5 linked regions of the Oryctolagus cuniculus genome follow. The protein of the gene in region 3 purifies or fractionates together with the protein of the main gene of each other region. This does not show direct contact. Links are inferred from orthologs where the notes say so. Each region holds a gene or a part of one and is shown on either strand. Other genes may lie near its edges.

Evidence for each region.
Region 1: the proteins of MAPK7 (region 3) and PFDN1 purify together in Homo sapiens (affinity purification with mass spectrometry; 3 studies listed by BioGRID and IntAct, with this or other methods). This does not show direct contact. The link is inferred for Oryctolagus cuniculus from reciprocal best matches to the Homo sapiens genes MAPK7 and PFDN1.
Region 2: the proteins of MAPK7 (region 3) and PFDN2 purify together in Homo sapiens (affinity purification with mass spectrometry; 3 studies listed by BioGRID and IntAct, with this or other methods). This does not show direct contact. The link is inferred for Oryctolagus cuniculus from reciprocal best matches to the Homo sapiens genes MAPK7 and PFDN2.
Region 4: the proteins of MAPK7 (region 3) and PFDN4 purify together in Homo sapiens (affinity purification with mass spectrometry; 3 studies listed by BioGRID and IntAct, with this or other methods). This does not show direct contact. The link is inferred for Oryctolagus cuniculus from reciprocal best matches to the Homo sapiens genes MAPK7 and PFDN4.
Region 5: the proteins of MAPK7 (region 3) and PFDN5 purify together in Homo sapiens (affinity purification with mass spectrometry; 3 studies listed by BioGRID and IntAct, with this or other methods). This does not show direct contact. The link is inferred for Oryctolagus cuniculus from reciprocal best matches to the Homo sapiens genes MAPK7 and PFDN5.

The regions. Positions count from the first base shown.
Region 1 is NC_091437.1:27,961,777-27,965,861, reverse strand, and holds the start of PFDN1 (prefoldin subunit 1), read left to right. Parts: upstream 1-1,274; 5' UTR 1,275-1,422; coding exon 1,423-1,455; intron 1,456-4,085. UniProt on the Homo sapiens protein: Binds specifically to cytosolic chaperonin (c-CPN) and transfers target proteins to it. Binds to nascent polypeptide chain and promotes folding in an environment in which there are many competing pathways for nonnative proteins.
Region 2 is NC_091438.1:37,700,863-37,704,374, forward strand, and holds part of PFDN2 (prefoldin subunit 2), read left to right. Parts: intron 1-2,175; coding exon 2,176-2,264; intron 2,265-2,368; coding exon 2,369-2,492; intron 2,493-3,512. UniProt on the Homo sapiens protein: Binds specifically to cytosolic chaperonin (c-CPN) and transfers target proteins to it. Binds to nascent polypeptide chain and promotes folding in an environment in which there are many competing pathways for nonnative proteins.
Region 3 is NC_091448.1:61,506,684-61,510,974, reverse strand, and holds the start of MAPK7 (mitogen-activated protein kinase 7), read right to left. Parts: upstream 2,811-4,291; 5' UTR 1,285-2,810; coding exon 1,066-1,284; intron 997-1,065; exon of another isoform or gene 835-996; intron 537-834; coding exon 299-536; intron 1-298. UniProt on the Homo sapiens protein: Plays a role in various cellular processes such as proliferation, differentiation and cell survival. The upstream activator of MAPK7 is the MAPK kinase MAP2K5.
Region 4 is NC_091442.1:7,285,183-7,288,694, forward strand, and holds part of PFDN4 (prefoldin subunit 4), read right to left. Parts: intron 1,393-3,512; coding exon 1,285-1,392; intron 1-1,284. UniProt on the Homo sapiens protein: Binds specifically to cytosolic chaperonin (c-CPN) and transfers target proteins to it. Binds to nascent polypeptide chain and promotes folding in an environment in which there are many competing pathways for nonnative proteins.
Region 5 is NC_091442.1:56,307,263-56,311,317, reverse strand, and holds the start of PFDN5 (prefoldin subunit 5), read right to left. Parts: upstream 2,806-4,055; 5' UTR 2,720-2,805; coding exon 2,648-2,719; intron 2,470-2,647; coding exon 2,367-2,469; intron 2,206-2,366; coding exon 2,174-2,205; intron 37-2,173; coding exon 1-36. UniProt on the Homo sapiens protein: Binds specifically to cytosolic chaperonin (c-CPN) and transfers target proteins to it. Binds to nascent polypeptide chain and promotes folding in an environment in which there are many competing pathways for nonnative proteins.

The sequences.
Region 1 (4,085 bases), on a different chromosome or scaffold from region 3:
CCACTGCACTCCCTGGCCACAGCAGAGAGCTGGCCTGGAAGAGAGGCAACTGGGACAGAATCCGGCGCCCCGACCGGGACTAGAACCCATTGTGCCGGCGCCACTAGGCGGAGGATTAGCCTAGTGAGCCGCGGCGCTGGTCCCTTTCTTTCTTTCTTTTTTTTTTTTTTAAAGAATTATTATTTTTTAATTTGAAAGACAGAGTTACAGAGAGAGGTAGAGCCAGAGAGGTCTTCCATGTGCTGGTTCACTCCGGAAATGACCGCAACGGCCAGAGCTGAGCAAATCTGAAGCCAGGAGCCGGGAGCCTCCCCTGGGTCTCCACACGGGTGCAGGGGCCCAAGGAGTTAAGCCATCTTCTACTGCTTTCCCAGGCCACAGCAGAAAGGTGGATCACAAGTGGAGCAGCCGGGACTCAAACCCAATTGCCTGTTTCAAATGCTAGGTCCTTTTATAGCAGAGGTTCTCCAAATGTGTTCTGTAGACAACTTTTGCGCCACCAGGTCATGGGGAGTTAGGATAATTGCAAATTTTTAAGCCCTCAAAGATTCTGAATAAGCTTGGAATGAGACCTAAGAATCTATATTATTTAACATTTATTACTATTATTTGAAAGAGAGAGAGAGAGAGAGAGAGAGAGAGAGGGAGAGAGAGAAATCTTGATTCCTTCCACTGATTCATTCTACAAAAGTCCTCAAGTGCCAGGATTGGCCAGAACAAAGCTGGCCAATTCAGGTCTGCCATATGGGTGGCAGGAACCCTATTACTCGATCCATTACTAAGGCCTTTCAGGGTGTTCATTAGCAGGAAACCAGAATTGGAAGCCTAATCAGGATTCAAACCCATACACTCCAGTATGAGATGCTGATGTCTTAGCCACTGTACTAAACATTTTTCCAAAAATTTTTCCAAAAATCAAACATATCACCTCCCTCGAGAATCTCTAATCTAGAAAGTCTTTGGGAGCATTCAGTAGAAATGAGTTCTTTGGTGGAAAACCCAAGCCTTCTAATAGTCTTCTCCATATGGTTAGGCCTGAGGTCTGGGGTCCCTTCTTACTCATCTCTGACAGCACAGGACGAGCTGTAGGACTGAATAACTGATGAGGGTTTGACCTGATCCACGCACTTCTCAATTGAGTAGAAAAACTATCAAACTGTTCAAAGCCACAAGCGAAATCTACACGTTGGGCTGTGTCTGGAAGATGTGGAGGAACAAGCCAGACCTGATAGGTCAGCAAGGGAAGACAAATTGAATCGGAATCTTGAATATTTAGAGTAACCCGCTCCGCAACAGGGAAACAAACCCGATTAGCGGCACGCAGGCGCAGGCGCATTAGGAGGGCGACCCATCAAAACGCAGCCCTTCCCCCACCCCTTTCCGGCCTTCTTCCAATGCGCAGGCGCAGAGGGGTGCATCAAGATGGCGGCCCCCGTGGATCTGGAGTTGAAGAAGGTAAAAGAGGGTCTTGAGCAGGCAGAGGCTTCTCTTTGGAGGCCGAAGGGACTGTGGACAGGAATATCGAGTGAGGCTTGAATGTTTGCGGGAGCAAAGAGGCGCTGGAGGACTGGGGAATGTTTTCCCGGAGGCCTGAGGCGCCGCGGGGCCTCCTTGAGCCGAGTGGGCAGCTAGCGGCTCTTGCTGGGTGGGAGCTAGTTGAGCCGGGCCGGGTCCGAGTGCGAGCTTACCCGTTTGTTCTGAGCCCCAGAGCTATTTCGTTGCGTTTGGAGCCTTCAGGGGCTCAGTTTCATGGTAAGAACAGAAGACAACGTCTTAAAACCTCTTTGGTGCGGTTGCCTGGGGCTGAGGCGTGTGTAATTCTGCCTCATTTAATTCGGGAGAAAAAACCCAACACCTGTTTTAAAGCCATTTATTCCCATCCTGTACCTTGAAAAGCCGCAGGAAGGCATTGTCCCCTCTCCTCCTCCCCTCCTTTTGCGAAGGGCTTGTCTAAAAAAAGGAGCAGCAGAGTTTGCCAAATAAAAGCATTTTGAGAAGGAATTGCGTTTCTTCTGTTCAAACAATTGCTTATAAATGTTTGGTACCGGAGAGCAGTCAGGATTCTAACTCCACTGCCGACTCAAAACGTGTGCTTTGGGGGGCGAGGGCGGATTGGAAAGGACCCTGGACTGCATAGGATTTAAATCTACTTTTCTAGAAAGGGAAACAACTCTAGAGAAGTCTCAAAGAGTGGAATTAGAATACCATGTTCTCTTACAGGTTTTTTTGACCAGTAGTTTAAGTTCTTCATGGAAAACATCTGAACAGTCTTTGCATTAGAAATAGGGCAGCTGAAATAGCTCTTATTAAATGAAGCTGTTACTGTTTTAAAGGTGTTTGCGTCTCGTTTCTTCTGCTGCTCTTGTCTTGAAACTTGTAAGTTGCTTTTACATGCTGTTCTCTAATATCTTGGCTATATCTTCCTCCATAAACTGTATAGAACAGTCAGAAAATACCTGAAATTTTACATTTCAGAATAAAATTGTGTTTTCTGAAAAATTTACCCTTTTTTCCATTAAAAGTGTAAACTTAAACCAAGTTTTATTTATTTATTTATTTATTTTTGACAGGCAGAGTGGACAGTGAGAGAGAGACAGAGAGAAAGGTCTTCCTTTGCCGTTGGTTCACCCTCCAATGGCCGCTGCGGCCGGCGCACCGCGCTGATCCGGTGGCAGGAGCCAGGAGCCAGATGCTTTTCCTGGTCTCCCATGGGGTGCAGGGCCCAAGCACCTGGGCCATCCTCCACTGCACTCCCTGGCCACAGCAGAGAGCTGGCCTGGAAGAGGGGCAACCGGGACAGAATCCGGCGCCCCAACTGGGACTAGAACCTTGTGTGCCAGCGCCGCTAGGCGGAGGATTAGCCTAGTGAGCCGCTGCGCTGGCCTTAAACCAAGATTTTTTAAAAAATATTTTTTTTGAGAGGAAGAATTACAGAAGGTGAGAGGGAGTGATAGAGAGAGGCCTTCCATCCACTGGTTCACTCCGTAAGTGGCCGCAACTGAACCCATCCAAAGCCAGGAGCCAGGAGCTAGGAGCTTATTCCAGGTCTCCTGCGTGGGTACAGGGGCCCAAGGACTTGGGCCATCTTCTGCTGCTTTCCCAGGACATAGCAGAGAGTTGGATTGAAAGAGGAGCAGCTGGGACTAGAACCGGTGCTGCAGAAACCAAGATTTTGATGAAGAACTATCAAAAGTATTAACTGTGAAAGGGCTTGCTTCCCAGTACTCTTTGAATTTATTGATAAGAAACAAGTAAACAATTAATACAAACTAAGAAAAAAATTATAGGCCGGCGCCATGGCTCACTAGGCTAATCCTCTGCCTGCGGCGCTGGCACCACGGGTTCTAGTCCCGGTTGGGGTGCCGGATTCTGTCCCGGTTGCCCCTCTTCCAGGCCAGCTCTCTGCTGTGGCCCGGGAGTGCAGTGGAGGATGGCCCTAGTGCTTAGGCCCTGCACCCGCATGGGAGACCAGGAGGAAGCACCTGGTTCCTGGCTTTGGATCGGCACAGCACACCGGCCACAGCGGCCATTTGGGGGGTGAACCCACGGAAGGAAGGCCTTTCTCTCTGTCTCTCTCACTTTCTAACTCTGCCTGTCAAAAAAAAAAAAAAATTATAGACAAGTTGAATAATTTTGACAACCAATTAACAAGGAAACGTATATCAGTTTTTTTTTTTTTTCTTTTTTAAAGATTTATTTATTTGAAAGGGAGGGAGAGGCAGAAGCAGAGAGAGAATCCATTGATTGATTCCCTAGATGTCTGCAATGGTGGAGCTGGGCCAGGCCAAAGCCAGGAGTTTCTTCCTGGTCTCCCATGTTGGTGCAGGGGCCCAACGACTTGAGCCATCCTCCACTGCCTTCTCAGGCACCCTAGCTAGCAGGAAGCTGGATCAGAAGTGGAACAGCCAGAATTCGATGGCATTGCTGCAGGCTCAACCTTCAGTGCCCTAGCATTGGCTCCGTGTATCAGTTTTATTTCCTAATGTCTTCATAAGCTATTTTTTTGAGTGGTATTTAATAGGAAATATAGACATCTCTTCTTCCCCAAAGTAAATCTTCTGAAACTTTGCTAGATATGCAACTCT
Region 2 (3,512 bases), on a different chromosome or scaffold from region 3:
GGGAAGTAGGAGCATGTACAGGTAGTAATGACTTCTCCGGGACTTTACATGTTATTTCTTGTGCCTGTTTAGCCCTTCTCTCTTCCTTCTGCCACCAGTTTGTTTTAAGATTTATTTATTTGAGGCTGGCGCCGTGGCTCAATAGGCTAATCCTCTGCCTTGCGGCGCCGGCACACCAGGTTCTAGTCCCGGTCGGGGCGCCAGATTCTTTCCCAGTTGCCCCTCTTCCAGGCCAGCTCTCTGCTGTGGCCCGGGAAGGCAGTGGAGGATGGCCCAAGTGCTTGGGCCCTGCACCCCATGGGAGACCAGGATAAGCACCTGGCTCCTGCTATCGGATCAGCGTGGTACGCTGGCCGCAGCGCGCCGGCCGTGGTGGCCATTGGAGGGTGAACCAACGGCAAAAAGGAAGACCTTTCTCTCTGTCTCTCTCTCTCACTGTCCACTCTGCCTGTCAAAATAAATAAATAAATAAATAAATAAATAAAACTTTAAAAAAACTTATTTATTTGAAAGGCAGAGTTACAGAGACAGGGAGAGAGAGAGATCTTCCATCAGCTGGTTCACCCCCCAAACAGCTACAATGGCCAGGGCTGGGCCAGTCCAAAGCCAGCAGCCAGGAGCTTTTTCCAGGTCTCCACGTGGGTGCAGAGACCCATGTACTTGGGCCATCTTCCACTGCTTTCTGAGGCACCTTAGTAGGGAGCTGGATCAGAGTGGAGCAGCCAGGTCTTGAACCTGCTGCACCACAGCACCAGTCCCTGCCACCAGTTCTTTGTCCTTCAGGCATAAGTGAAGACATGTGTTAGTGGTATAGGCTTCAGAAACAGACTTGTAATACAATTTGTTTTGAAGCAGGTAGTTCACAGAATTGGACATAATGAAAACAAAGACTAAATAACTAGATTGAATGAAGTTCAAGAACTGGGGTAGCTTTAGGAGCCTAGGAATAGGAATGGAAAGACATCTGTAAAGAACCAGTACTGGAGCTGACACTGTGGTGTAGTGGGTAAAGCTGCTGCCTGCAGTGCTGGCATCCCACATGGGCACTGGTTTGAGTCCCAGCTGCTCCACTTCCAATCCAGCCCTCTGCTGTGGCCTGGGAAAGCAGAAGAAGATGGCCCAACTCCTTGGGTCCCTGCACCCGCTTGGGAGACCCAGAGGAAGCTCCTAGCTCTTGGCTTTGGATCGGCCCAGCTCCAGCCTTTGCGGCCATTTGTTGAGTGAACCAGCAAATGGAAGATTTCTCTCTCTCTCTCTGCCTCTCCTCCTCTCTCTGTGTAACTCTGACTTTCAAATAAATAAATAAATCTTTAAAAAAAGAAAAGAACCAACACATATCTTAGCTCCAACTGCCTTCTGTACCTATTTGTCCTTACCCAACATTTGAATTCTTGTAGAGATCTAGCATAAAATAAGTCATGCCCTAAGAACAAGGGTCCTGTGATTAGTTGCCCCATGGAGTTAATAAGGGGCAGTTCCCCAATGAATGGGGTAAGGACACTAGGCAGGCTCAAACAGTAGTTACTAACTGCAGTGCCCTGCCTGCGAGTCCTGTTACCTGTGCAAGTCTAGGCTCCCCTGGAGGTACTCCAGTAGTTCGCTGCTCCTGTCCCTATGCTACTCCTTTAAAACTATAAGCCACAAGAAGTCAGAGGCCAAATCTACTCTGTTAAATGCCCCAGTGCCTAGCAAATATCTCCACAGTAGGCACTCAATCAGTGTTTGGTGAATGGAATTCCAGATGGACTTAAGTTAGAAATTGCAAGCTTGAGTTCTATTTATTTATTTATTTGAAAGAGTTACAGAGAGAGGTAGAGACAGAGCTGCACCGATCCAAAGCCAGGAGCCAGGAGCTTCTTCCAGGTCTCCCACGCGGGTGCAGGGGCCCAAGGACTTGGGCAATCTTCTACTGCTTTCCCAGGCCATAGCAGAGAGCTGGATTGGAAGTGGAGCAGCCGGGACTAGAACCGGCGCCCATATAGGATGCTAGCGCTTCAGGCAAGGGCGTTAACCCGCTGCACCACAGCGCCGGGCCCGCAAGCTTGAGTTCTACTCTTTATCCAAAGTATGTGTCCACTACCACCATTGTAAAATTTGCCATCCTATGTCCTGTCCTGATCCTCCAGCATTTCCACTATACTCTCTTCTATCTCCTCTCTCTCTCTCTCACCTTAGGTAATTGCCGGCTTTAACCGCCTTCGGCAGGAACAGAGGGGCCTGGCATCCAAAGCAGCTGAGCTGGAGATGGAGTTGAATGAGCACAGGTGAGAAAGGCAGGGAGAAGCGGTTGGTTGGGCCCTTTTGTGAAGGGAGGGCTGCAGTAGGGTGGGACTGAGAGTTTTGGTCTCCTCTTGTCCTCCTACCCCAGCCTAGTGATCGATACACTGAAGGAAGTAGATGAAACTCGCAAGTGCTACCGCATGGTTGGAGGAGTGCTGGTGGAGCGGACTGTCAAAGAGGTGCTGCCTGCCTTGGAAAACAATAAGGAGCAGGTAAACAAGAATCTGGGAGGAGAAGGTTTGGGCAGTAAAGGGGTAAGGAAGATGGGAAGGCCAGGGAGTTAGGAAATATAGTAGAGGAAAGACTGTATAAAATTTCTGTTGAAAACAGCATAAATTTAGGCCAGAGCTTTGGCGCAGTGAGCTAAACTGCTACCTGTAATGCTGGCATCCCCTACTAGAGCACTGGTTTGAGTCCCTGAAGCTGTTTCCCATCCAGCTCTCTGCTAATGCACCTGGGAAAGCAGCACAAGGTGGCCCAGGTACTTGGACTCCTGCTACCCATGTGGGAGACCTGAGTAAAGTTCTAGGCTCCTGGCTTTGGCCCGGATTAGCCCCGATCATTGTGGCCATTTGGGGAGTGAACCAATGTCTGGAAAATCTCAATCTCTTTCCCTCTGGCTTGCTCACTCCCTGTCACTCTGCCTTTCAAATAAATAAATAAATCTTTAAAAAAATACAGCATAAATAGCTTTTAAGCCTATGTTCTTTATGCTATGCTAGGTAAACTCTTAGAGGAGTTGCTGGCTTTGTGTCCCTTTCATGGGCTGTTTATTACTTGGCTGAGTTGGGTGAAAGAGGTTAGAGCAGTTCTCACGTAGTCCCTGGATACCTGAATCAAAATCACGTAAAGGACTAATTTATTCATCAGTTAGTATTTGTTCATGAGACAGAACTCCCTTCCACTGGTCCATTCCCCAAATGCCCACAACAGCTGAGGTGTTGAACTGAAGCCAAGGGCCAGGAATTCAATCCAGGTTTCCCACTTGGGTGGCAGGAACCCAGCTGCTTAAACCATCACTGCTGCCTCCCAGGTCTGCATTCATAGGAAGGTGGGGTCAGGAGCTGAATCGACCCTAGGTGCGCCAGTGTCAGACACTGGGCCGGATGCCAGCTCCCCTGAAGGATTAGTTTAAAATAGTTTCTTGGATCTTGTCCTGGACCCTCTGAATCAGAACTTTGGGAATGCCCTCAGGTGAGTCGTCTATACATTAAAGTTTCTAAGCCACTGTA
Region 3 (4,291 bases):
CCCGGCGCGGTCATCTGTGAGAAGCTGCACAGCCAGTTAGCAAGAGAGCCTCCCAGACCTAGCCCATCCCGCCACCACTCCCTGGTGCCAGGCTCTGGCCCCAGAGCCCAGCAGCCTGGTGGGATGGCAAAACAAAACCAAACAAAAAACGGCTAGGCCAGAGTTGCAAGGAGTCCTGCCTCACTGGGAGCCTGGGCACCTAGAGATCTCTGGATCGGAACCACACCTCACAGCCCGGCTGGCTAAGGCAGGGTTTCTCACTCCGAATCTGACAAGGACAGTGACCCAGGAGACGCACCGGTGAGGCGGCGGCGGGCGGATGACACCACCCCGTAGGCCCCGTTGCCGATCGTCTCGATGATCTCGTACTCGTCGCCCACGTCGAAGGTCACGTCGAAGGAACGGGCCTTGAGCAGGGCCAGGTTCTTGGCGGCGACCGAGGCGGCGGTGTGGACGGGTTCAGCCTTCACCGACCCGGGGGGCTCCCCAGAGCCATCCTCGCCATCTTCCTCTTTAAGGGGCTCGGCCATGGTCCTCTGTGTGGAGACGCCGGTGATGAAGAGGGCCCACCCCCAGCCCCCATCCCGGGGGTCTCAGTTTCCCCTTCTGTGGGTTGGGGAGGGGGCACCAGGGAAATTTCCAAGTTTCCAAAACCAGCCACTTGGCGAATGGGAGCGGCTGGCCCGCTGGAGACACCCGACGCTGGGAGCCGCCGCCCCGGGCCTGGGTCCGGGTGGGGGTCGGGGTCGCGGGTGGGGGAGGGAGCGGCGCGGCGCAGTCCAGGAAGAAAGGGCGGGCGGGGCCCTCGGGTTCCTCGGGGCCACACTCACTGACCGGCGCCTCCTCAGGGATCCTGGAAGTCCCAGCGCTCGCCGGCGTCCTCGGCCCCGGCTAGAGGAGGGGGCTCCGGGAACCGCACTCCCGCCCGTCCGAGGCCCGCGGCCACCTCCTCAGCGCCGCGCGCTGCCCAGCCCGGACCCCACCGCCCCGCCTCCCGAGACCACGCTCCCTCCCGCCGCCGGCCAATCGGCGAGCGGCCCCTGCGGAGGTTCCCACCCCTTTTACCTGCTGAGCCCAATCAGGGCGCATCGGCCTAGGAAACCGTACCTCCGCCCGCCGGGGTCCGGCTCGCCGGCGGGAGCCGCCGCCCTGAGGGCGCTCGGCGCTCCGGAGGGGTGCGCCGGCCGCCGGGCGCAGTCCCCTGCACGCATGCGCACCGGCAGCCCCGGGCGCCGCGAGAATAGGAGGCAACGCCCCTGCACGTCGGCCCGCGCGCGTCCCCATCCATCGGCTCCTGCGGTCAATCACGGCTCGTCCCGCGATTGTGGGGAACAGCCGGGCACTCGGGGCGAGCTGAGAGGCCTGGGGTTGTTACCTTGGAGACTGGCTCCCGCAATACCCCTCCTTGGGCCCCTCTTCCTTAACGGGTCCCCATTTTCTCGGTTCTGGGAGCTCTGGGAAAGCATCGTTCGCGGGAAAGGGCGAGCAGGCACGTCCAACCATAGAGACCTGGGTCCTCCGGGATTCTAGAGCGTCCGGCCTCGGAGCTGCCGCTGACTTCCGGCGGCCGGTCTTCTCGCACACTTCCGGCGCTCGCTGGTAGTTTGCTGGTCCGGCGTCTGCCCTCCGCAGTGGCTCTGTCCCGCGGCTCCGGCGTTTCGGGCTGCGACAGAGTGGAAGGAGGCAGCGGGCCCTTCTGTGGAGTCCGCGAGTCGGCAGCACTCTGACTGGAACGCCATTCCTCGCGTAGTCGAGTGTCGAGCCCCGCCCTGCGACGCCAGGGCGGCGAGGGCTGGAGGTAAGAGCGGCGAGGAAGAAGCGGCTTTGTGGTGGAGACTCCGGCGGTGACTGTTTCCGTGGAGGAATGAAGGCCCTGCAGGCGGAGCCACGGTGTGGAGCTGGGACATTCGGGCGAGTTTGCCCTGCACCAGGCCCGGCGGATGGGAAGACGGGGAGAGCGGGAGGGAACCCGGTCGTCAGGAGTCCCGGAGTGCCAGGTTGACCGTTTCGGCAGAGTTCAAAGGTCGTTTATTTTGCATGGATTTCACACTTTTTTGAGGGGGGAGGGCCAGCGTTGTGGCTTAACGAATGCAGCCTCGGCCGGCAGCCCGCGCTGGGGCGCCTGCTCGAGCCGCCCCACTTCCGATCCGGCTTCCTGCCCCCGTGCTGCGTGGTCCCTGGGAGGTGGCCCCTGCCCTCCGCGGCGGACACGGGGGTGGAGTTGCCGGTTCCCGGCTCGGCCTGGCACAGCCCTGGCTGTGGCCACCATTGGGAAGGGAGCCGTTACGTGTGAGATCTCTCTCCGGTTCGCCGCTCTCTAGTTACGCCTTTCAGGCACCTAAGTAAATCTCTTTTTAAAAAAAGTTTTTGATTCTGCTTTCCACAGTGCGTGCGGTACCTTTATATGTATATCTAGTAGTTAGATAGGTAGCGATCGTATGAACCAACTGAGTTGGGGTTGAAGTCTAAATTTGTTTGGTTTCCCTGGCAGCATAACAAAGCCAAATTATCTCACGTGATTTGCACTGAGCATTAATAAGGCAACCAACCGTACTCTTGAGAAACGGGGTTTCCTGTTACTGAGATATGGAAGTGTTTGAGGGGAATTTTTTTTTTTTTACACAGATTTATTTGTTTTATTCGAAAGGCAGAACCAGAGAAAGAGGGAGAGACAGATCTGTCTGCTGGCTCACTCCCCCTGTGGCCGCAATGGCCGGAGCTGGACCAGGCCGAGCCAGGAGCTTCTTCCAGGTCTCGCACGCAGGTGCAGGGGCTCAAGCACTTGTGCCATCTTCTGCTTTCCAGACGCTTCAGCAGGGAGCTGGATCGGAAGTGGAGCAGCTGGGACTTGAACCAGTGTCCATACGGGATGCCAGCACTGCAGGCCACGGCTTAACCACAGCGCCGGCCCCAGGGGCCTTTCTAGAGATGAAATCCATGCAGCGTGAGGCCCTGTGTCAGCTCTCAGTGTAAGCAGAGGTCACACAGAGGCCGGAACATGAAACACATGATTTTCTAGGGACCCACTGTACTCTGTCTGGTGGTCCTATTTGAATCAGGAATAAAATATCAGAAGAGACTAATGCACTGTGTATCCTTTAAATACTTCAAAAATATTCCATCCAGTCAGGTTATTCGCTGCAGACAATTCACTATCCCCTGGTTAAAAAGACTGATTCTCTTACTTTTTGTCTGAATTACTGTGCTGCTGCTCCCACAGCAGCGGCTCTGTCTTGGAGAAGTCATCAGTTATCCCTTTCTGGTCAAATCCAGCCTTTTGACCCTTGCCCTCTCGAACTCTCTGTTGCATCTGACACAACTGACCACTTGTTTAAAAACGGAAAGGGTGGAATCACATTTTCTTGTGGTTCGAGACTTTGGTAAAGAAACGTTTAAGTGAAAAATCTTGGTCCCGCCTCCTGGTGGCCACTAGAGGAAAGTGACTCAGACAGTCCCAGGTCCCATCAGGACAGGGCTGCGTTCTGCGAATCACACTGGGAGGCGGTGTTGGCATTGTGAGAACTTACCTGCTGCGCCCTGCACACACCTGTGGGCATTTGTAACGGTGGTGTTTGCGTAGCACAACCTATCTAAGCGTGGGGAAGCACCGTGAAATATAGACGAGAATAAATAGTGCTTCTGTGGAGGGCACTCACCACGAATGGGGCTTGCGGGACCGGAAGTTGTTCTGGGTGAGTCGGGGTCAGTGCAGGGTGACTGCAGGCCCAAGACATGACTGCACCCCAGGTAGGTTTCATCTATACCAAGGCCACATGGGATTTATTTTTAAAAAGTTTTTCCCTTTTTAATTTTTTAAGGATCTGAGAGGTAGAGTTACAGAGAGATGGAGAGAAAGGTCTTCCATCCACTGGTTGGTTCCTACTTTACCCACTGTGCCCCAGTGTCAGCCTAAAGAGAGGACATTTTATTTTTTAAAGATGTTATTTATTTATTTGAGAGGTAGAGTTACAGGCAGGGAGGGAGGGAGAAAGAGAGAGAGAGCTCTTCCATCTGCTGGCTCATCCCCAAATGGCCACAACAGCCAGGGCTGGGCCAGGCTGAAGCCAGGAGCCAGGTACTCCATCCAGGTCTCAACGCGGATGGCAGGGGCCCAGGTATCTGGGCCATCTGCTGCCTCCCGGTGTGTTAGCCAGGAGCTGCATCAGAACTGGAGCAGCCGGGGCTCTAGCCAGTGCTCCAGTCTCCAATATGGGGTGTTGGTGTCGCAGAACTCCATGCCGGCCCGTGGGGCATCTAGCCTCGTTTCCAGGTCATGTCCCATTGGACAGGC
Region 4 (3,512 bases), on a different chromosome or scaffold from region 3:
ATGACATTTCACAGCAAGCACTTAGGAGGCTGCACACTGTCCTCTTATTCCTGACTGTTGCTTGCATCCTGGAGTGGCAGCAGGTGCCCACGGTCACTGAAACGTCTCCTACTGTAGGAATCTCCTTCCTGGGGAACTCTGCCTTCCTATGAAATAAAACCATAGAAAGCAAAAACCTTCCCCAGCCTTCCTAGTCAACAGAGTGTAAACAAGTAATAACTTAAATTCCACTAATCAAAACTGCATGGATTGGGGCTGGCGCTGTGGCATAATGGGTAAAGCTGCTGCCTCCAGTGCCGGCATCCCATATGGGCGTCGGTTCAAGTCCTGGCTGCTCCACTTCCAATCCAGCTCTGCTATGGCCTGGGAAAGCAGTGAAGATGGCCCAAGTCCTTGGGCCCCTACACCCACGTGGGAGACACAGAAGAGGCTCCTGGCTCCCGGCTTCAGATCGGCCCAGCTCTGGCCATTGTGGCCATTTGGGGAGTGAACCAGTGGATGGAAGACTTATCTCTATCTCTGCCTCTGCCTCTCTGTAACTCTACCTTTTAAAGAAATAAATAAATCCTAAAAAAAAAAAAAAAAGTGCATGGACTGAGGGCAGAGTAAGAGAGGGACAGCTTCGTCACTAAGGAGGCTCTGAGGTCAGTGGAGCCAGCATCAAGGCTGATCCTCCTCCGAGACAGTTTCAGGACTTGCTCTTGGAAGCTCAGCCTAGAGTCAAACCCCTCAAAACTCTAAAATTATTTCACATCCCTTCAAAAACGTCTTTCTACTGAAACTTACTTGCTATGTCATATGCAAACTTTTGACAGGAAGTGGGTAGTAGATAATTTGCTCTGTAAGGAGTCTCACTAGCTGCTATGCTACTGCCTAATTTTCAAATACTTCTCAAGTCTGCCCGTTTCCTTCCACCTCCACCAACACCCTCCTGTCCAAGCCCTGGGAGCCCAGGTCAAAAGCACGGCTAGTTAAGGGAGGAAGGAGGAAACACCACTTGAGGCAGTAGGGCTTTGATGGCTGGAGTCCAGGGGGAGGCTTGGGGTTTTGAATGCCAAGGCGTATGCATGACTGAGCAACACTCTACAGTAATCTGACAGTTGTTAGGTGCATTTTGCCACAAAGAGATGGAGGCAGGACACAGGTGTATGGTGCACGGAGTCAGCTGTCAGAAGAAGAAAGGAAGGCGGGGGCTTAAAAGAGGTGGTGGAATGTAGAGGTCTTGGCAGTGATTAGCGAGGGAAGAGTAAAGAGAGGAGAAGCAGAGATAAACATTTTTAATACCTTTTTTACTTCTATTTCTTCCTTTAGCTCTGTGATTCTACTCGTATTCCTTGCGAATTTGTTTATCTTTTGTTGATCTTCAAAAGTAACATTGACATCTTCTGCAGCCTGAAAAACATTTTAATTTTTTGTAACATTTTAATAGAGAAGTTAGAGGTTTTTATCTGGCGCTCAATAATTCAATAAACTATTGCTCTCATACAGTGAAGAGTCACATCATATAGAAATGCCTTATTTGATTTTTTCAATGACCTTAAGATCTGTTCATCAATCTGTAATCTTTCCCAATATTCTATCACACGTGCCTATGCTACAGAAACATTTTACTAACCCTCCTACGCAAAGAAAAGCCAACCTTTAGCCAAGAGTGTGCCTCAAGCTGAAACATTTTTTCGGCAAATAAAAAAGTTACAGGATCAAATAATGTTGGGAAATGCCTCATAGCTTTTGTTTTTTCTTAGTCAGGACTTCCGTGAACTTACTGTGGTGATCAGAAATCTGAGTCTTTAATCCAACTGCTATATTGGCCAAAGAACTGCATTTCAGTGGTTATACTCCACATGCAGCAAAAATACATTCATTTTAATGTAGCATCTGCTTACATGTGTTCATTAATGTGGTAAAATTCACTATAAATGTGAAAACTGAATGCTTAATACTAAAAATTTAATATATACAATAATCATTGAATAAGACTATGTTTGAGTATTTATAATACTTAGGGGGCTGGCGCTGTGGTGCAGCAGGTAAAGCCGCGGCCTGCAGTGCTGGCATCCCATATGGGCGCCGGTTTGAAACCAGGCTGCGCGTTCTCTCTCTCTCTCTCTCTCTCTCTCAGGCTGCACGCGCTCTCTCTCTCTCCACCTCTCCTCTCTCTGGGTAACTCTGACTTTCAAATAAATTAATAAATCTTTAAAAAAAAATTTTAAAAATGAAGTCATAGGCTGGCACCGTGGCTCACTAGGTGCCGGTTCTGTCCTGGTTGCCCCTCTTCCAGGCCAGCTCTCTGCTGTGGCCCGGGAAGGCAGTGGAGGATGGCCCAAGTGCTTGGGCCCTGCACCTGCATGGGAGACTGGGAAGAAGCACCTTGCTCCTGGCTTCAGATCGGCGCAGTGCGCCAGCCGTGGCAACCATCTGGGGGGTGAACCTACGGAAGGAAGACCTTTCTCTCACTGTCTAACTCTGCCTGTTAAAAAAAAAGTCATACTGGCAAAAGATGAAAATAAGTTTAAAAGTTAGATGATATGTCAATTGGAGCAGCGGATTATTTAGCAACATTAATGTCACAATCACATTAAAAAATACTTGGGTGACATAATTAACTATGAAAAAATAAAAATAATAGCTAACATTGACTGAACGCTCCCTGTGGATCCAGACCTTTCTATGTGCATCACCTACTCTGCTAACCCTCCAGTCTCAGCAGGAGGGATTCTCACTCAGCACTACTGCTTTACAGCTGGAGAAGCTGGGGCACAGCCCACGGAAAGCCACACAGTCAGCAAGTGGGAGCGCCTGACTTCAACCCAGGCAGCCTGGCTTAGAGGCCGCAGACAGGCCCAAAGGGCTCTTGGAAACAGAACGTGGGAGCATGCACATGTGTGTGTGCACGCGCAGGGACTTACACGTACTTAGGAGGGGCAGTGGAAGTCCTCTGCTTTCATCAGATTCTCAGAGGGGATCTACGTATTAAATAAACAAGTAAGCAGAGTCTCCCTAGGGTTCCCATCATTTATAAAATAGAAGCAAGAGAACCTGATTGTAGTATAAAGAAAACTGTGTATATAAAAATAATCCTGAGTTAATTTATTGTATATATCAATATGACAGGTTATATGCATTAATTACATACAAATGTTTATGTGTGTAACATAAAAGTAGCCTCAATAAAGACTGCTGGCTCTTTTGCCAGTAACAGTAAAGGGTTCAAAATATCCTGTCCTGACCTTCATCTGGTCTCTCTCGACCAGTGACACAAGATACACGCCTTTATTTCTCCAGAGGTTGAAAGGCAACCTGCAGTCTCAAGCAACAGAGCTCAGAGGTCAGAATTTCAAGGCAGACACCTAGAACCTGGCCCTGCCCCTCATCAGGCCTCCCTTTCCACCACACAACTGCACGTGGTCAGGATCTGCCTGACCTGATCTCCTTCTGAATCTAAATCCTGCTTGATCAGATTCAAGTCTGCAGCTTCTGAAAAGCAGTAGAGAATCCAGCTCTCTGCTTCC
Region 5 (4,055 bases), on a different chromosome or scaffold from region 3:
GTGCTCCACGTCGTGCAGCTTGCCAGGGACGTACATCTGCGAGGCAAGGGTTAAGGGGAACCAGCCCAGCATGAGCCCCGAGTCCCTGTGGGCCAGCTGCTTGGCCTCCTACGGCTTCTTTCTTTCTTTTTTAATTAATTTATTTGAAAGGCAGAGTTACAGAGAGAGATCTATTCACTCCTCAAGTGGCCGCAACTAGCCGGCTGGAGCTTCTTCTGGGTCTGCAGGGGCCCAAACACTTGGGCCATCTGCTGCTGCTTACCCAGGCGCATCAGCAGGGAGCTGGATCAGAAGTTGGCCAGGACTGGCGCTGTGGTGTAGTGGGGCTAAGCCTCCACCTGCAGAGCCAGCATCCATATGGGTGCTGGTTCAAGTCTCAGCTGCTCCTCTTCCAATCCAGCTCTCTACTGTGGTCTGGGAAAGCAGTAGAGGATGGCCCAAGTGCTTGGGCCCCTGTACCCACGTGGGAGACCTGGAAGAAGCTCCTGGCTTCAGGTTGGCGCTGCTCTGGCTGTTGCAGCCATTGTGGAGTGAACCAGTGGATGGAAGGGCTTTCCAGTCTCTGTCTCTCACTCCCTCTGTCTGTAACTCTGCCTCTCAAATAAATAAATGTCTTTTTTTTTTTTTTTCTAAAGAAGTGGAGCAGCCAGGACTTGAACCAACAAAGGCGGGTGCTGCAGGCCGTGGGTTAATTTGTTGCACCACAGTGCTGGCCCTGACCGTCTTTTTTTTAAAACAAACCACAAGGGGTAAGGACTGAGTAATCTGGAGGCCTTAGAAATATGCCTGAAAGCCAGTGCTACAGCCCACTAGGCTAATCCTCCGCCTGCAGCGCCGGCACCCCAGGTTCTAGTCCCGGTTGGGGCACTGGATTCTGTCCCGGTTGCTCCTCTTCCAGGCCAGCTCTCTGCTGTGGCCCGGGAAGGCAGTGGAGGATGGCCCAAGTGATTGGGCCCTGCACCCGCATGGGAGACCGGGAGGAAGTACCCAGCTCCTGGCTTCGGATCGGCGCAGTGTGCCGGCCATAGCGGCCATTTGGGGGATGACCCATCGGAAAAAGGAAGACCTTTGTCTCTCTAACTCTGTCAAAAAAAAAAAAAAAAAGAAAGAAAGAAAGAAAGAAAGAAAAGAAAGAAGAAAGAAAGAAAAAAGAAAAGAAAAGAAAAGAAAAGAAAAGAAAAGAAGAAAAGAAAAGAAGTATGCCTGAAGCCCCCAAAAGGCAGCCGCAAAGATGCTGGCTCCTTTTGGAGAAAGCTGGCTTGTGCTGGAACTCTAGCCCCGACTCCATCTCCCGCCCTCCAAGCGATTGTTGTAACTCCTCCCAAGGACTCCTCGGCAAAGACTGGATTTGGTGATGGTCTCCCCCTGCCTGGAGTGGACCCCGTGAAGAGCCAGCTTCATGTCCCCTCATCGTCCCCCATCACGAAGTGGCTCATGCCCATTCACTGCTACACCGCCGTTCCTGTGCCCTTTCCCAAACGCCAGCTACGCACCGCAGGTTCGCCACTGCCAGAACCTGCTCATTCCAGGTCAACCCCCAGCAGGTGAGCCTAACCCAGGCTCCTTCCAGCAGCTGAGGAATGGGCCACGGGGAAAGTGAAATTTAGGGTTAATGAACAGAGCCAACCTCCCTGTTTAATACTAGCAAAAGAAGATCAGCTTTTTCTTCATATTCATGGCCTCTAACAGCATGGGGGGGAGACCACAACTCTACATACCATATCCCTTGGCACTCAGAAGGCATGAGCTGGATGTCGACCTGAGGCTACGAAGTGTGTACAACAAGAGCCCTCTCAAAATCACTGGGGGGAGGGGGTAGCCAGTAAAGCCGCTGCCTGCAGTGCCGCTTCCCATGTGGGCGCAGGTTTGAGTCCCGGCTGCTCCACTTCCAATCCAGCTCTCTGCTGTGGCCTGGGAAAGCAGTGGAAGATGGCCAAAGTCCTTGGGCCCCTGCACCCGTGTGGGAGACCCGGAAGAAGCTCCTGGCTTCGGATCGGCACAGCACTGGCCATTGCGGCCAATTGGGCAATTAACCAACGGATGGAAGGCCACTCTCTCTCTGCCTCTCTCTAACTCTGCCTTTCAAATTAAAAAAAAAAATCAAGGGGGAGTTCTACGGTGTCCGCCCCGCCCCCGGGAGGCGGCGCGGTAGCAATCCCAGTGGAAAGGATACGGAACTTGTCAGTGGGACGAGCAGTTCTTTCCCTGTGAAAGCAATGAAGACAAACAGCGTGGGCAGGCTGGCAGCCGTAAAGGGAGTTCAGAGCCCGGCAGCATGCACAGGGCGCGTGCAGCGGCGCTCAGCGCGCAGCGCCCGGTCCTCTCGCCGCCGCGGTCCCCGCGTTGCCCGCTCCTACGCCGCATACCCTCGTTGCTCTTGTTCAGCACGTTCAGACAGTCCTTGGCTTCCACGTACTTGGTCTGTACCACCTTGAGCTGGGCGATGGACGTGGACAAGAACTCCACCTCCTACACGGGACGGGAAAGCGGGGCCGGCTGAGGACCCGGGGCCCGAGAGGGGCGGACCCTGGGAGCCGGGGAAGGGAAACGGCTCAAACTGGAAAGGAACGGGGTGGGGGGCGAGAGGCTGCGTGTGGCCGACGGGATGTGGAGCGCGCGAAAGGTGTTGCTCGGGCTCCATCCCCACCTGATCCAGCTGGTTCTTGAGCATTTCTAGCTGCGGCAGGTTCAGCTCCGTGATGTTGATCGACTGCGCCATGTTGGGACGGAGGAGTAGCCGAGAGGAAGCCGGCCGCGTGAGCGACGCTCTAGCCGTCTCCTGCGCGTCTCTATGGCCGTGCCCGGCGGCCTCGCTGCGCCGGACGTCTCTATGACCCGCAAGGGAGGGAGGCGCTGGAGCCGCTCAGGTGCACCTTGTGTTGAGAGTCACGGGATAGTCTAAGCCTAGTCCAATAAAGTTGTAGCAAGCCATGATGCCTGTCCTCCAGGAAGTTGAAAATCCTGAAGTGCTCAGGACACAGCCACAATCCTGTAAGGCAGCGTGTAAATCTAGTGACCGACAGCTGTGTGCGTGGTGGGGGGCAGCTGGTCGGGCCCCTTGTCCCTTGTCGCAGAGGAGCATCATGAAAATGCTGCTTGGAGCAGACGCAGGGGAGAGTCTGGAAGTGGAGAGGATTAAAAAGCCGCAGTCTGAACGTCACACAATAAATGTTTTGTGAACTGTGAAAAATTGAAAAAAAAAAAAAAAAAAGCCACAGTCAGCCAACAAGCATAGCACAAGGTGTCACTCCGTAGCATGTGTTACCTGCGCTAGCTAGACGGAGCCTGGAACGCCATCCTGGTCGGCCGCATTGGGTGCTGGGCCCAAGTACTTCAGTTATCATCTGCTGCCTTCAGGAAGCTGCATTGGAAATGTAGAGTAGCTGGGACTCAAACCAGGTGCTGTGCTATGAACACATCTTGTTTCCTTGGAGCCCAGAACCTACATGGGTTATTTCCTGGGGTTCTGGCTTACATGTGGGTGTGTGTTCTGGGAGGCCAAGGTCTATGTGTTGTTTCCTAGGATGCCCGGAATTCCTGATGGGAATTGAATCCAGGCACTCCAAGGTGGGATACACCCACCTGAGCTGCTAGGGCAAATGTGGCATAGCAGGTTAGGCAGCCGCCTACTATGACAGCATCCCAAATGGGTGCTAGTTTGAGTTCCGGCTGCTCCACTTCTGATCCAGCTCCCTGCTAATGTGCCTGGGAAAGCAGTGGGAGATGGGAAGATAGCCTGAGTCCTCGGGCCCCTGTGTGGGAGACCCAGATTAAGCTCCTAGTTTTGGCCTGGCCAGCCCTGGCCATTGTGGTCACTTGGGGAGCAAACCAGCAGATGAGATCTCTCGCTCTCCTCTTTCAAATAAATTAAAACTTTTTTTTTTTTTTAAAGACCTATTTGAGAGGTAGAGACACAGAGAAAGGTCTTCCATCTGGTTCACTCCCAAAATGGCTGCAACAGCTGGAGCTGTGTGGATCCAAAGCCAGGAGCTTCTTCCAGGTTTTCCAATGGGTGCAGGGGCCCAAGGACTTGGGCCATCTTCTGCTTTCCCAGG